Linked DNA regions of Mytilus edulis. The main gene of each other region encodes a partner of the protein of the gene in region 2 in a complex. Links are inferred from orthologs where the notes say so. Each region holds a gene or a part of one and is shown on either strand. Other genes may lie near its edges. The genes, in order: proteasomal ubiquitin receptor ADRM1-like and 26S proteasome regulatory subunit 6A-B.

Region 1 (7,779 bases), on a different chromosome or scaffold from region 2:
ATTTACATTTGAATACCTTTATCTTTATAATATTGTTGATATTTGCTAAATTGTAATTTATTATAATAAACTATGAAAACTTGCTAGTGTTAAGTTCTACAAAGCCACATACATGACATATGAAGGATCAGAGACTCAGGATTCCGATACTTACTCTTTACACGGTCTTGGGTATGATATGTAAAAGTTGACACAGAAAATATGCAACGTAAAAACCCCTCCAGTTACAAAGATATGAAAATCATTACTTGAACAACAAAATAACATTTATAGACTAATATTAGGTAATGTACTGAATAAATTGACATTTCACAGTTTTTTTCAAATAACAAAAATATAGATCAAAATTACCATGATTCCTGCAAATGATTAAACTCAGTTGCTTATCAAACATTTTCTGAGAATGAAAATAAAATTCTTTCTGACATCTCAAGACCTACCTACATCCAAAAAAAGAACTAACTCCTTGAAGTTGAAGTCTTCAACTTAAGGACGTTAGACTCTCCCTGTTCATGTAAGACCTACCTGCATCCAAAAGAAGAACTTTCTGCTTGATGTCTTGAACTTGAGGACATAAGACTCACCCTGTTCATGTAAGACCTAAAATTGAGAATGGAAATGGGGAATGTGCCAAAGAGACAACAACCCGACCAAATAAAAAACAACAGCAGAGGGTCACCAACAGGTCTTCAATGTAGCGAGAAATTCCCGCACCCGGAGGCGTCCTTCAGCTGGCCCCTAAAAAAATATATACTAGTCCAGTGATAATGAACGCCATACTAATTTCCAAAATGTACATGCATCCAAAAGAAGAAATTTCTGCTGGATGTCTTGAACTTGAGGACATTAGACTCACCCTGTTCATGTAAGACCTACCTGCATCCAAAAGAAGAAATTTCTGCTGGATGTCTTGAACTTGAGGACATAAGACTCACCCTGTTCATGTAAAACCTACCTGCATCCAAAAGAAGAACTTTCTGCTTGATGTCTTGAACTTGAGGACATAAGACTCACCCTGTTCATGTAAAACCTACCTGCATCCAAAAGAAGAACTTTCTGCTGGATGTCTTGAACTTGAGGACATAGACTCTTCCTGTTGTACACTGAGTAACATGTTTGAACTCAATATCATCTGGGAAGATTATCAAATCCTAAAAATATAAAGAGAATACAATTATCTCACCACAATGTATCACAAACAAGAAGCTTGCAAGAGTCTTTACTGCTCACCTTGCATTTGCTAAAAATAAGTTATTAAGGATACATCCTATAGTTTTTGTTGTATTTGAGTTTTTGTAGACCATGTTTTTTTATTACTTTTGCTGATTAAGGTTTCTACTTGTTTTTGTTTTTGTGCCAACTCAAATGAGGGATTGTTACTCATTTGGGTAGTACGAGATTACTCTGAGGTCCAACGGCTGTTTTGCCAGACAAGCTGGGGCCGTGGGACGTCAGAGCTTGTCCCATATCAAAAAGTGGATATTTGCCCACCCAAAATAGATGCACTGCTTCGTCGCTTCTGGTGCCGACTGACGGCCCCAGAATTATATAAATCAGGCATCAATCTGTTCATTTTTCATTTATCTCTTCATTTATGTAAGTTTTACCTACCTGCCAACCTTTATTTTCTCAGAATTAGACAGTTTTCACAGTGACCCATAGATTTCGGCATTTTGACTTTCACTTTCAAATGGACGTCAAGTAACGAGAGAGTCCGTGGTCTCGAGACTCAAAATATGCAAATATTTATATTTGTTCACCTCCTTTATAGGAGATCGATGTTTAACATTTAGTAGCCAACCACGGGTTTTCACCTCCTTTACCAGTCAGAGCTCAGACATAAATAAGTCTGAATCTGCTTTTGACTCATAGAGGTCTTAATTTGTAAGTTTTAGGAGTTGTCTCCCTTTAATGTAAGACAAAATACGACTTGAATAAGTCCAATATTGTTAAACAAGAAATAATTGACCAGAATCAAAAAGTTTCAAATATCGACTCCTACAAGTCGATGAGTGATCAAAATTGGTTAACTTCAAGACCCATACATATTTATAAGGAGGTCATGCATCTAAATCAAATAATGACAACATTGAAAGCCAATACTTTGTCTTCTATAGAAAAATATGAATGAGAGTCTAAAAAATCGAAGATAATGTTCATTAACCTTACAATGCAACCACCTGGAATCACACTTAATGAGGTAAAACATCTGTGTTTAGTAAGGATGTCCACTTAGATAATTAAATATAGATAGCTCAAGTCCTTGTGAACTCTCATACAGGTTTTTGCTGTCATAGGTGGTGTAGTTTGGCCACAAAGTAACATTAAGTTTTTTCACCAACATAAATAGACCTAAACAAGTCTGCCATTTTCTGACTTAGATAAGTCTAAAATTGAAACTACATTTTTATAATAAATACATGTTTTGACTTATTTAAGTCAAAAACAAAAATCGACTGTTTACCATGTTGACAGGAGATCGATATGAAGCATTTAGTTCAGACCACATTACAATCGGAAGCTCTTAGATAACTTGCATCGTAAATGAACAAGTGTTACATTATGGTCATTTGCATAAATCATCACTGTTTTCTTGTGGTCATGTGATAATCTTTGAAAATGAAAGGCAAAATGCTGAAATCGATGGGTCACTGTGAAAACTGTCTAATTATGAGAAAATATTATAAAGGTTGGCAGGTAGGTGTAACTTACATAAATGAGGATATAAATGAAAAATGAACAGATTGATGCACGATTTATATAATCCCAAGGCCGTCAGTCGGCACCAGAAGCAACGAAGCAGCGCATCTACTTTGGGTGGGCAAATATCCACTTTTTGATATGGGACGAGCTCTGACGTCCCATGGCCCCAGCTTGTCTGGCAAAACAGCCGTTGGACATCAGAGTAATCTCGGACTATCATTTGGGGAACAGTTCCCCATTTGGTGGGTTGTCCCCAACCTGATTAATGTACCTGAAAACAGGAAATTACAAAAAAATGAGAATTGCTTAAGTTTAAGCGTCATACAGGAATATGACAAAGCAGTAGGCAGGATTCAGGATCAAAAACCCCAAATGAGACCCCCTTGAAAAACACCCTCCCCCTTTTCCTCCTAATTTCAAAAAGTCAGTACATAGAAAATTATGTACAGATAATTATGTACAGATACACTGTAATTTGTTGTGTAAATCTAACATTTCCTTTCTTTAAATATTAGCAATATCTAGAGCAATACAATGCATACATCAACATGAAATATATTAAAAACCCAAAATGACATAGCAGTTTTCGTACATCTTCAATCGTGCCGGTGCCCCTGTCCTTCCAACAAAAGTGCATTAGAGAGTCTTCAGCCTGATACACGTAGAGCAACCCCTTCCTTTTATCTGGGTGGACCATTTTCTCTTTCATGAACATTTTGCCACATCGAAATTCAACCAGATTCTTGCTCTGAGAGCGACTATTTCCACCGAACAAAGCTCCAGTAGCCATTTTCAAAGTTTTTTGTACAGGAAGTGAATTGGGTAAATAGACTTTTACCATAGGGTAGGGCAGTAATTTTCATCTGTTCAAAAAATCATGAAACTAATCTTTCAATTTGAAAAATTATAGCAAATGTATCATCTTTTAAAAACAGAGAGTATTTTTTCCCATGAAAATGAATTATCTATATCAATTCATTTGAATTAACTTAATTTGGGAAAAGACTAATCTTTGTCCCCTGTCTGGAAAATGGACTTATCCTGTCAAGTTCAAGGAAAAATTCACAGGGGAGATAATTTGGGGTTACACTAATGACTGGACCGAATGACAGGACCGAATGACAGGACCAAATGAAAAATGCTAATAACTTTTTCATTTCGCAAAGGATTGATCTGAAATTTGAAATATAATAAGATTTCATCATTTGATATATAGATTTAAAAAAAAAATAAAGAAAAATTGTAAGAAACTTTAGAAAACGTGACATGACCAACTCTGATAATGACAGGACCAACATTGACAATGACAGGACCAAATCAAATTGCTAATAACTTTTTTGTTTTTCAAAGGAATTATTTCAGATTTGAAATATAAAATGGTATGTCATATTTTGAAACCAAAATGTTATAAAAATTATAGATTTATTTTCAAAAACTTTCGAAAACGTGACATGACCAACATCGACAATGACCGGACCAGATGAAATTGCTAATTTCTCTTTTATTTCTCAAAATATTTTTCTGAAATTTGAAATATAATAAGATTTCATCATTTATCAAATAAATTTAAAAAAAAATACACAAAAAATATGTAAGAAACTTTAGAAAACGTGACATGACCAACTCTGATAATGACAGGACCAACTTCGACAATAACAGGACCAAATAAAAATGCTAATATCTTTTTTATTTTACAAAAGAATTATCTCAGATTTGAAACATAAAATGATATGTCACATTTTGAAACATTTATGTTATAAAAAATAAAGATTTATTTTCAAAAACTTTCAAAATCGTGACATGATCCCATCGCTGACTGACATGACCAAGCTCGACAATGTCCTGAACAAATGAAATTGCTAATTATTCTTTTATTTCGCAGAATATTTCTCTGAAATTAAAATATGTGAAGATTATACCATTTTATACATAAATATAAGAAAAAGGTATAAAAAGCTTGCTGAAATGTGATCTGGTTAACGTTGTCAATAACAGGACAATCCTCGACAATTAATGACAGGACCAAATAAAAATGCTAATTATGCATAACATTTGTCAGAATATTCCTCTCAAATTTGAAATAATGACAATTAAGACCATTTTGCACATCATATAAGAAAAATATAGAAAAAAAAACGTATTGAAAGCTTGCGGTTGTGTGACCTGACCAACATCGGCTATGATCTGGCCAATGATTTTACTGAAATTGTTCAATTCTGATCCATAATTAGTAAGATATATCTTATAAATTCAGCAAAATATATTCTATGGTGGTTAAAATTCTTGACCCATAGCTACTAAACATGCTAAACGTATGTTGGCAGAGAGTCACAGGACATGCAGAGTCACAGGACAAAAAGACACGAATGATCACTATATTTAAGAAAGAGATCTTGAAATATTTATATGTAATTACATATAATCATTTTATTGTTTAAGAGATTGTTCATTAAACTATAGATAAATTCAGATTTATTGAATTGTCATCATAATATTTCTTGACATCATGAAGCCCAATTTAAGCCACTTTGAAAAGGTATCAAACCTTTTAAAGTAGTCCGTGAAAATGTTTGATTCAGTATATTCTATGAAAATATTTGAAACTACCAAGAAATCATGCATGCAAGGGTCGGGCATACTTCAAGAAATGTTTATTTGTTTATTTATTATGAGGGGGGAAACTATCAAGATATACCCTGCATATACTCAAGCATACATGGAAATAATTATTTAATGTTCTGAAAATATTGAATAAAACAACGACTTGAACTATTATGTGATTTTAATTACTGTCATCACAATCTTTATTGGATTTATCAACTTATTTATGGCTTATGTCACACCTTTTGTTTGTTACCTTATAATTGTTTTCAGACGTGTCAGATTATGTCCGGTAATTAATACACAAAATAATCTGAATGAATGAATGATCTTTATTCTCAACCCAAATACATAGTTAAAGAGTTATATTAAGATATAGCATGTGCGAAATATCAATTAATATGATAAATATTTACACCAAAGATAAATAAAGTTAGCTTTTTCCCTTATTTTCTAAAAGCTTATAAATCATTCAATCTTAATGTGTGTGTTTTAATTATTATTATTAATTTCAACCAGGATTTCTATAGTAGGGACTATGGTCATTTCACGTTTTCGCAATAAAAAAAATCTAGATTTTTTTTCTTTAATTGATGTTTTAAAAGATGAGATCACATTTTATTTTAAATCTGACATAATTCCTTTTCAAAATTAAAAAGTGAATAGCATTTTTATTTGGTCCTGTCCTTGTCAAGGTTTGTCCTGTCATTGTTAGTGTTGGTCAGGTCACATTACAGCAAGCTTTAAGTATTTTTTTTCCTATATCATTCCTATTTTTATGTATAAAATGGTTAAATCTGACTATATCTCAAATTTCAGAAAAATATTTTTTAGAAATAAAAAGTAATTAGCAATTTCATCTGGTCCTGTCATTGTCGAGGTTGGTCCTGTCAGTCAGCGATGGTTATGTCACGTTTAAACTTTCTATATTTTTTATAACATTTATTTTTCAAAATATGACATATTATTTTATATTTCAAATCTGTGAGAATTCCTTTGAAAAATAAAAAAAGTTATTAGCATTTTACTTTGGTCCTGTCATTGTCGATCATGTCATTATCAGAGTTGGTCATGTCACGTTTTCTAAAGTTTCTTACATTTTTTTTAATTTTTTTTTCTTAAATCTATTTATCAAATGATGAAATCTTATTATATATCAAATTTCAGAAAAATATTTTGAGAAATAAAAGAGAAATTAGCAATTTTATCTGGTCCAGTCATTGTCGAGGTTGGTCCTGTCAATCAGCGATGGTCATGTCACTTTTTCGAAAGTTTTTGAAAATAAATCTATATTTTTTACAACATTTTTGTTTCAAAATATGACATACCATTTTATATTTCAAATCTGAAATAATTCCTTTGAAAAACAAAAAAGTTATTAGCATTTTTATTTGGTCCTGTCATTCTCGATGTTGGTCCTGTCATTATCAAAGTTGGTCATGTCACATTTTCTAAAGTTTCTTACAAAACTTTTTAATTTTTTTCTTAAATCTATTTATCAAATGATGAAATCTTATTATATTTCAAATTTGAGATCAATCCTTTGAGAAATGAAAAAGTTATTAGCATTTTTCATTTGGTCCTGTCATTCGGTCCTGTCATTCGGTCCAGTCATTAGTGTAACCCGATAATTTGACATTTCTCTCACATGTGATGTTTTGATGCAGCAAAGATGGACTTTGGTGCTCTTTCAGAATTTTGCCGGGAAAATGCCTCAATATTGATAGCTTTAACTTTTATTATATTATACATCTGTTATTACTATCTTTTTGTAGTCAAGGTAAGCTGTCAAACTTTAGAAAATAGCAATTACTAAATTATTAATAAACTTACTGAAGACAGTCATTGACACTGACAGTCATGTCTGAATTTTTTTATTTTTAGGTTTTATTGGGGATCTCATTGGGGGTTCTAATCCCCGATATCGCTTACTGTTTTGTCAGATTCCTGAATCTCGCTTACATTATATACATAAGCAAAGTTGAAGATGAGCTTCATTTCTTATTAGAATGCCCTCTTTATGATATTCAAATTTAAAGGGACGATTTTTTTCAAGACATTTCTAACAATTGTTGTAATTTTACAAATTTAAATAAATCTAAATTTGTATTGCTCTTGACCCAAGAAAATGTTACTCTTATGGAAAAACTGGGCTGTTATATATGTGACTGTTTTGAATTTAAGAAGAGATCAGGTATGAACACTGACACCAAGTCAAGTAAATAATTTGAGAATAAATACATATACATGTATAATGTAATTTTATTATTCTTTTATTCACAATATATATATGTGGTTTTTAGCTTGATTCTGACCAGGGATGATTCCAGGTGTTTACAAATGGGTCCCTTGAATATCAAATTGGGAATTTTTATCCCAATTGGGAATTTTTTATGCATACAATATAAGATGAAATAATATATCATTTTCCTGTAAAAACAGAAAATGAATATTAAGTTAATTTCTTCTGTACAC
Region 2 (7,859 bases):
ATACCTTTTATATATTCATATTTATATTCATATTTCATTTTTGCTTTAAAGATCTTGTTAATCCATTAACCATTTATCTTTCAGATATAATTTACAGAATCACTTTATGAAATGTAGATAAAAAGTAATAGGCAATAAATAAATCTATCATCCTTATATATCAAACATCTAATATATACATTCATGACATTTGTGTATTCAATTATGAGGTCAATATTTGTATATTAAGATCTAGATGTATATTGCAGGGTTTGTATAATTTATGTAAGACTAATGTGGTCAATTTGTTTGATAGTTTAGGAGGTGGTGCATTGTATTCAAAGGTTTACCTTGTGACATGTCTCTGATTGTTTAGTGATAATGACAGTTGTCAATCATACTAGTATTGTATCAATACCCAATTACTTAATCAAAATGTTTTAAAAAAAAAGCCTGCACATCAACACACATTAGTAATGACATACAATCTTGAATGAACTGCTCCAATAATATACCCATTTTTTCAGTTTAGATGTTTATTATGAGCACATACATGAGAACAATAGGGAACTATATTTCAGTGTGAATACATTTACTAACAGTAGCTAACCTGTCGTGTTGTATGGGAGGCCGGTGCCTTAGTAAAGATTTAGAACAAGTTCTAATCTTTTCAAAAATGATATCAGATAATGATATTATATGTTATGTCACGATGTGTATGTTTGTTGTATGTTATATGTATTCAGGATGCAGTGTTCTCCCCAGGCCCTTAAAGGACCACGGGCCCGCGATGTATAATTTTCTGCCGCTGTGGTATCGTTCTTGCCGCGATGTATAATTTTTTTCCGTGGTGCTAAAGTTTTCGGTAAAAAAATCGTATTAAAATCGGTAAAGTTTCAGATGACTTCAACTTTACATCAAAATTGACCAGTTCTAACCAGTTTAATCCAGTATTGACAAGATGATTGTTTACACCACGTGATCGATTTACCTGTTGAGGTTAACCTTGATGATTGGATTTAATCGATGTACATGATTCTTTTGTGTTTTAATTAATTAAGAGATCATAATTTAAATAACAGACTTGTGAGGGACAAGCAGACATTTGTTAATGAACCCTATTACGCCAGTCTCAAGTCAAAATAATTTGCCTTTTAGGAATTAATTGTGGAGTTACTTCCCCTGATTTTGTTAATTACAAATAAATGCTCCTCACATATAATTTCTCATTGCAAATAAAAATAAAGTACAAATTGAATGCAAAATTATATTAGAATGTTACATTAAGGATGAAAACATTCTTAGAACATACCAACAAAAATGTTTTGCAAATTATTTTTGAGAATCATACCATTATTGATGCACAGACATATTATAATAAACGGGTAATTTATACAATGTTAAAATATTTGAGTGTAACAGGTCTAAAAAGCCTACTGCCACAACTCTAATACATTCCCATGCAGGACTAAAGCTAGGGATGAACCTTGTGAATAGAAAACTCTTTTAAAGTACTCTCCATGTCTGTAACAAAGTATTAATCATAAAAACAAATTTGTTGTTGTCTAAAAGAATCAGATCTAAAACTATGGAAATAGTTTTTAATTTACTGAAGGTTCTGTATCAAAAATCTTGTTCAAAGTTCATTGTTATGGGGAATGTGTAGTGTAACTACAAGTATCGGGACAAAATGGCTTGATCAAAATATAAGAAGAGACTTTAGCTTAAAGACTAATTGTGCTTTCTTTTATTTATTCTTCAAAGATATTAAAGTATACAAACTGTTTATTAATTTACTTTTTCTACCAATAATTTTCTGACCCAAAGTCCTACAACACAGTTCCACAATAAACAAAACAACTTTTTAGGCAAACAGGTAATGACAAAAAGTAACAAGAAAAAAAATAAGCGACGCAAAGCGACACAAAATACTGTAAAATTCATTTCGTCACGCGTTACCCTGGTGCTATCCAAAAATCCTGGGGAGAACACTGGGATGCCAGAACTTTATTTATTTGTTATACATTTGTTTTAATTGTTTATCATCATTTATGTATCATTGTCATTTTGCGTAGTTTCTTTTGCTACCTATTCAGACTTCTTTTAAACTGAGTTTTACTACATGAGTATTGCTATGTGTTTCTGTATTCTACATTGGCCAGAGGTATAGGGGAAGACTGAGATCTCACAAAAATATGTTTAACCCAGTCGCTTTTTTGTGCCTGTCCAAAGTCAGGAGATTCTGTCCCCTGTTGCTAAAATAAACATTTGGGAGGTTCTGATGATGTTGATAGAGGGCTGTTTAATGTCCAGCAGTTAATTAAATGTATTAAGGACAAGAATATGTTAAAGTAATATAAATATTAACCCTGCTTTAAACTAGAATATGCTAGAAAACAAGGAGGAAGACAGTCACCCTACCCTAACTCTAAGTTTATTTGTTTTTGCTTTTACTCCTTAAACAGGCTTAATACCATGTGGTTAGTTGAGAAGTAGCAGTTATTATTTGGCCGAGGTTCAAATCCACATCCTTCCACCCTTGAGTGGAACTCTCTACAACTTGACCATCAAGGGGGTCTATACATGTAGGTCTAAAAATGACAATCAGAGACAGGTGAAGCAAGAAGACCATTAGGCAAGTGTAACTTAGTCACGGATACATCGGTAATAGAATATGGTTTTGTCATTTGGGAACAGAGAAAACCAGAGGCTGACTATGTTCTATAAAGTGGTTGAGTGATGGGTGCAAGCTATTAAACCAACAAACTATCTGCAATAAATAAGAAATAAAGCCAAGTCAAGGCAGTGATTTTCAATACACAAACATCGTAGAAAGACAAGATCATTCAAACTGATAGACTGCAAAACCAGACATCAATAAGAACTCTTTTCTTCCAAAAAAAAAAATAATGCAGTGGTCATGACAAAACTAGCAAAAATTGAGGGTTTCACGGCTGCCTTTCAACACTTTTGGACATACCAACCAGTACTTCTTCCAGTACACATATACCCGTAATCAGATCCTGCTCTAGCCTCTGTGTAACTAACATGCAGATACAGACTAACATAGCCTGTACTGACTACTATGTACTGGTAAATATACACATGGACATGAATGATTTTATAAAAAATGTAAATTCGAATATTTATTGCATTACAATGAACATTATATTAACGGGACAATAACGTATGAATGTAGGTTTAATGATAAATTTCACAGGTCAACTTGTCATTCCTGGGGAAAAGTGTATGTACGGTGACCGGCGAGAGGATGACGAAGGAAAATTGAATCATGTATTCTCCTAAAAACTACAAAGAACTTTTCCATAACATGATATATTGACTCTTATGGATACTGAAGGCGACTGTATTTCTGTTTACAGGTCTCCATGGTGGTTAATTTAGTGAAACTGTGCAATATTTGTGTTAAAATACCTCTCCATCGTCCCAAATTGCCTTGTCTTCGAGCGTCGCCATTTTCACTGAATGTCACGTGACAGATCCGAAACTTCGACCTTAAAAATATTAAATTCTTTTAAATTGCAATATTTCATATATTAATTTCCTTAAACAATGTTAGAAGCTTGCAATTGAATCAGGTTTGGTTTTGATTTTTTTTAGTGTAATTGAATAAATTGAATATGATTATAATATTGGGAAAAAATGACAAGTCGACACATTTTCACTCTATCGCCACTTGCAACTATTCGCTCCAAAATAAAAAAAATCATATACGTCGGTTCCTGCTCTACGCTACCAGTTCGGCCATACTTTGAAAAGTTGTTTCGGCCATGGCCATTATTGTCTTCAAGGAGAGGGAAATATCATTGTTTATAGGAACACACTTGTAAGGAAACAAATGGAAAAATCTCATTTCAGTATTCAAACACACCAGTACCCTCTATAACAACGGAGCAACTTGAGGTGTATATACAATATTTCAAGATCTATACATGCGGTATGAACTGATCTGAAATAGACTAAACAAAAAAGATATTCTAAAGTATACGGTATTCAGTAGGTAATATTACTGTAAAGGAATTAAACGTCTCACTGCTTGTGGATGGCATTATCAAATTCAGTTATTAATCTATTTTTATTGGCACTCTGGCCGATGGCAGTAAAATCAAAGATATGAAACTTTAAAAGAACTAAAATAATAGCAATAACAATTGTTTTATGTTGCGATATTTGATATGATTATACATATTCTATGATATTATCTCGACATCCTCTTTGTATGTGAATTATAATTTTAATTTTATCTCCATTATATGTTTATATGTTATAAATGAGAATGTATTGTGTAATAATTACATTAGATGTATGTTTCATTATAATATTTTATTCTGATTGGCTAACTGCACATGGTATCCGGTCGTTCCGGCCCCAAACCGATCCGGCCCCAAGTCAATCCGGCCCAAAGTCGATCCGGCCCAAGTCGATCCGGCCCACGTCGATCCGTCCCCAAGTCGATCCGGCCCCATAATAAAATATGAATTAACTAGATTTTGGAGGAATTTGTCACAAACTTTAACAGTATAAATGGAATTTGAAAAAAGTGTCCGATCGATGATGGAAATGGAATTTGAAAAAAGTGTCCGATCGATGATGGATGACAACAGGTCAGTGAAGTATTGGAGTACCAGTTAACGAACTATTTTAAATCCATACGAAAATTAGTGTTAAAATTGTGTCTGTTTGTATCGCAGTTTCTACATTTTTAAATTATGAAGTTATTTTCCATGATAACTTTTACTTTAAATTTCATGGCGATATTTATTTTATTCAGTTCACACACAGAATATCTAAATAAATAAATAATGGACCTATAAAATTCATGGAAAATTTAACGCATAATAATGACTTACAAATGTATTATATGTCTCTGGTTTAATCAAATCATTAGTCTATAATTGGTTTGTTTATTCAACAGTTGTCTGATAATTGTGAACTAAAGTAATGCCACTCGTAATCACTTAATTCAATCCAATGCTGATTAATTAAAGTTACGTAATCTGTTTTTCAACAAGGTCTTTATAGATCTTTATAGTTTGATCTTCTGGTTGGTGTATATTATAATAATTATTTGTATTTTTTTTTCAGGTTACATCATAGGCTTCTATAACATATAAAAATATGCTATTCTATAACACTTTTATATCAGCATAAAATATAATATCAGCACTCTTTTATAAAAAGGATCCGGCAAATCAAACAACATTTCTCAATTTTAGAAATTTTAAGAACTTAGAAAGAAAAACAAAGTTTATATGTATCAGCTTGGAGATCGGCTTGTACCGTTCATGTATGTAACTATTTGTTATTATATGTTACACAAGATGAAAGACTTGTTAGGATCACAGTCAATTGAAAGAAAATGCTAATTACTGCTGATTAATGTTGATGTCTGAATTCTTTTATATACGTTTTAATATAATTATACCCAATAATCTTGAAAACTTGTAATAAAGACATAATCAACCTAGTTGTTTTATACTCATCTAAAGAAAATATTTTTCAAAGGCCTTTTTTACTTTTTTTACCGTACACCTTTAACATTATAATAAAAATAATAAACATTTATGAATTACAATTAATATATATTTATTTTTATTCCTTAGAAATATTTTTTTTTATTGGGGCCGGATCGACTTTACATATGGGCCGGATCGACGTGGGGCCGGATCGACGTGGGACGGATCGACTTGGGCCGGATCGACGTGGGGCCGGATCGACCCGAAAGCACTGCACATCACGTGTTATTCCGTAAGCAGTTGTAATGATCAATACAACTTTTCATTCATGATAACACGTGCTCCAACAATAAAGTGCACAGGTGAATTAAATAATAAAATATATAAAATTCGTGTTTTCGTGATCATAGCTAAAAAATGTAATTATAAGTATTGAATGCTTCTTTTTGTAACTTTATATGGTTGTAAAAGCGTTGACCGTGCGTACATTTTAGAATGAAGCGCTTCCGCGCTTCATACAAAATGTACTTCGGTCAACGCTTTTACACCCCAATAAATTTACAAAAAGAAGCATTCAATTCTTAATTGTTGTCATTATGTCCCGTCAGAGGCCCTTAATTGGAAAATAAAGAACTATGAACTAACTATACACTGAACGAAATGCCAACATTTATAGAATAGGAAAATCTCTGTTTTTTAAGATTATGAAGTGAAGTAAATGTTACTTATTCAACACTGTAATGTTTTAAATATAACACATATGTAATTTCACGACACTACAATCTGTGGATACATAATATAGTTTAGGATTGCACAAGCTCACGTTTTCCTAAAACTGTTTATGACGACTTTGCATTAAATCCATTGGATGTTGGACGTGTATTGATTGATATCTTAGTTTTAGATGTATGATTTTTTTTATTATTTGTCACAATCATTTTAACCCCGCCACATTCTTTGCCGGTGTGCCTTTAATTCAGGAGCCTATAGTTCAGTGGTTTTCGTTGGTTCATGTCTGTCATATAATTATTTGTGTTTCGTTCATTGTTTACTTATAAATTAGAAAAATAGTTTTCTAAATATATTTCTTATATTTCATGTTGTGGCCTTTACAGTCGATCAGACGGTTTGTGTTTTTCTCATTATTGAAGGCCGTATTGTTGCCTTGCTTACATCCTCTTCCTTTGAACTTTGGTGGGTAGGTCAGTGTCTCATTGGTAGTCATACGTGTTCTAATTTTTATATACAGAGTTTATCGGTGCGAGCCAATGCTCCGTATTGAAGACAATACTTTGACATATAATGGTTTTCTTTCATAAATAAATTTTGATTTGAATAGAGAGTTGTCTCATACCGACATCTTCTTATAACTATTTGTAAATCAAAACTGACAACAGGAACAAACCGTCATTAACCTTACAGGGCTGTAACTTGCCCAATAATTAAACTTTCATAACAGACCCAATATTAGCATATGTTTGTCACAATATTTTAATACTAGAACACACCCGTGATATCACGGGTCCGTGACTGAATTAAAGTATATAACTATGCGCAAGCCTTATTTTAGTATTAGTATTGTCATCTGATAAAGTCATGCCGATTATAAGATACACAGTTTTTCTCTGCTTTCAAGTCTTTCTGTTTGAACCCGTCGAACTGAAACAATAATATTAATTATTTGGAAAACAAAAGGTCCTGGAATGGAGTATTTTTTAATCAACAGCATTGTCCTATATAAGTTATCAATAAAGTTGAATTCTTTGCTTCGCTGTTTTACGTCATGCCCACTAACAAATTGAAAACTGTACCTATACGCCTTATTTTTAGTCCAGATTTTTAGTATTCGTATTGTTATCTTAGAAAGTCGTACTGATTAAAATACTACAATAGGTAACAATTTGACAATTTAGTAGTGTCAACCCTGTGGTTATGACCCGTGTATATAGCATATTAATCCTGAATACAACGTTTGGTGGTGCGCCTGTCAGATGCGGAACGTACAGATAAGGTAATAGGTAACAGGTGAATATACTATTGGTATCGGTAGCGGACTCGACCCAGAACTTCTTAATTATTGGCAATATTAATTACGTGGAATACAAAAGGGCCTGGAGTGGTGTAATTTTTAATCTACACCTTTGTACTATATTAGTTATATATAAAGTTGAATTCTGTGATTCGTCGTTTTTACGTGATGACGGCTGACAAATTGGACCTCGTAATTTTAGTATTATAGATATAACCAGGGTTTAAGCTAGGATTTTGAGGGCTTTATTCCCTTTTGCGCGCTATTATATTCAACCTATGTTTGTGTAACAGCAATGTACCAAGGATGTATATTACTAGCTTCTTCATCCTCGACATTGTCAGACTTTAAATTAAGGACTTAGGCATGATTGG

The links.
Region 1: 26S proteasome regulatory subunit 6A-B (region 2) and proteasomal ubiquitin receptor ADRM1-like share a complex: the UniProt entries of both Caenorhabditis elegans proteins name them as parts of the 19S proteasome regulatory particle complex. The link is inferred for Mytilus edulis from reciprocal best matches to the Caenorhabditis elegans genes rpt-5 and rpn-13.

Annotation. Positions count from the first base shown.
Region 1 is NC_092355.1:80,494,172-80,501,950, forward strand, and holds the start of proteasomal ubiquitin receptor ADRM1-like, read right to left. Parts: upstream 3,535-7,779; 5' UTR 3,494-3,534; coding exon 3,296-3,493; intron 1,152-3,295; coding exon 1,035-1,151; intron 1-1,034. Other genes in the region: phospholipase ABHD3-like, read left to right, coding at 6,977-7,084. UniProt on the Caenorhabditis elegans protein: May function as a proteasomal ubiquitin receptor. May promote the deubiquitinating activity associated with the 26S proteasome.
Region 2 is NC_092352.1:86,138,664-86,146,522, reverse strand, and holds the start of 26S proteasome regulatory subunit 6A-B, read right to left. Parts: upstream 3,510-7,859; 5' UTR 3,457-3,509; coding exon 3,415-3,456; intron 1-3,414. UniProt on the Caenorhabditis elegans protein: Component of the 26S proteasome, a multiprotein complex involved in the ATP-dependent degradation of ubiquitinated proteins.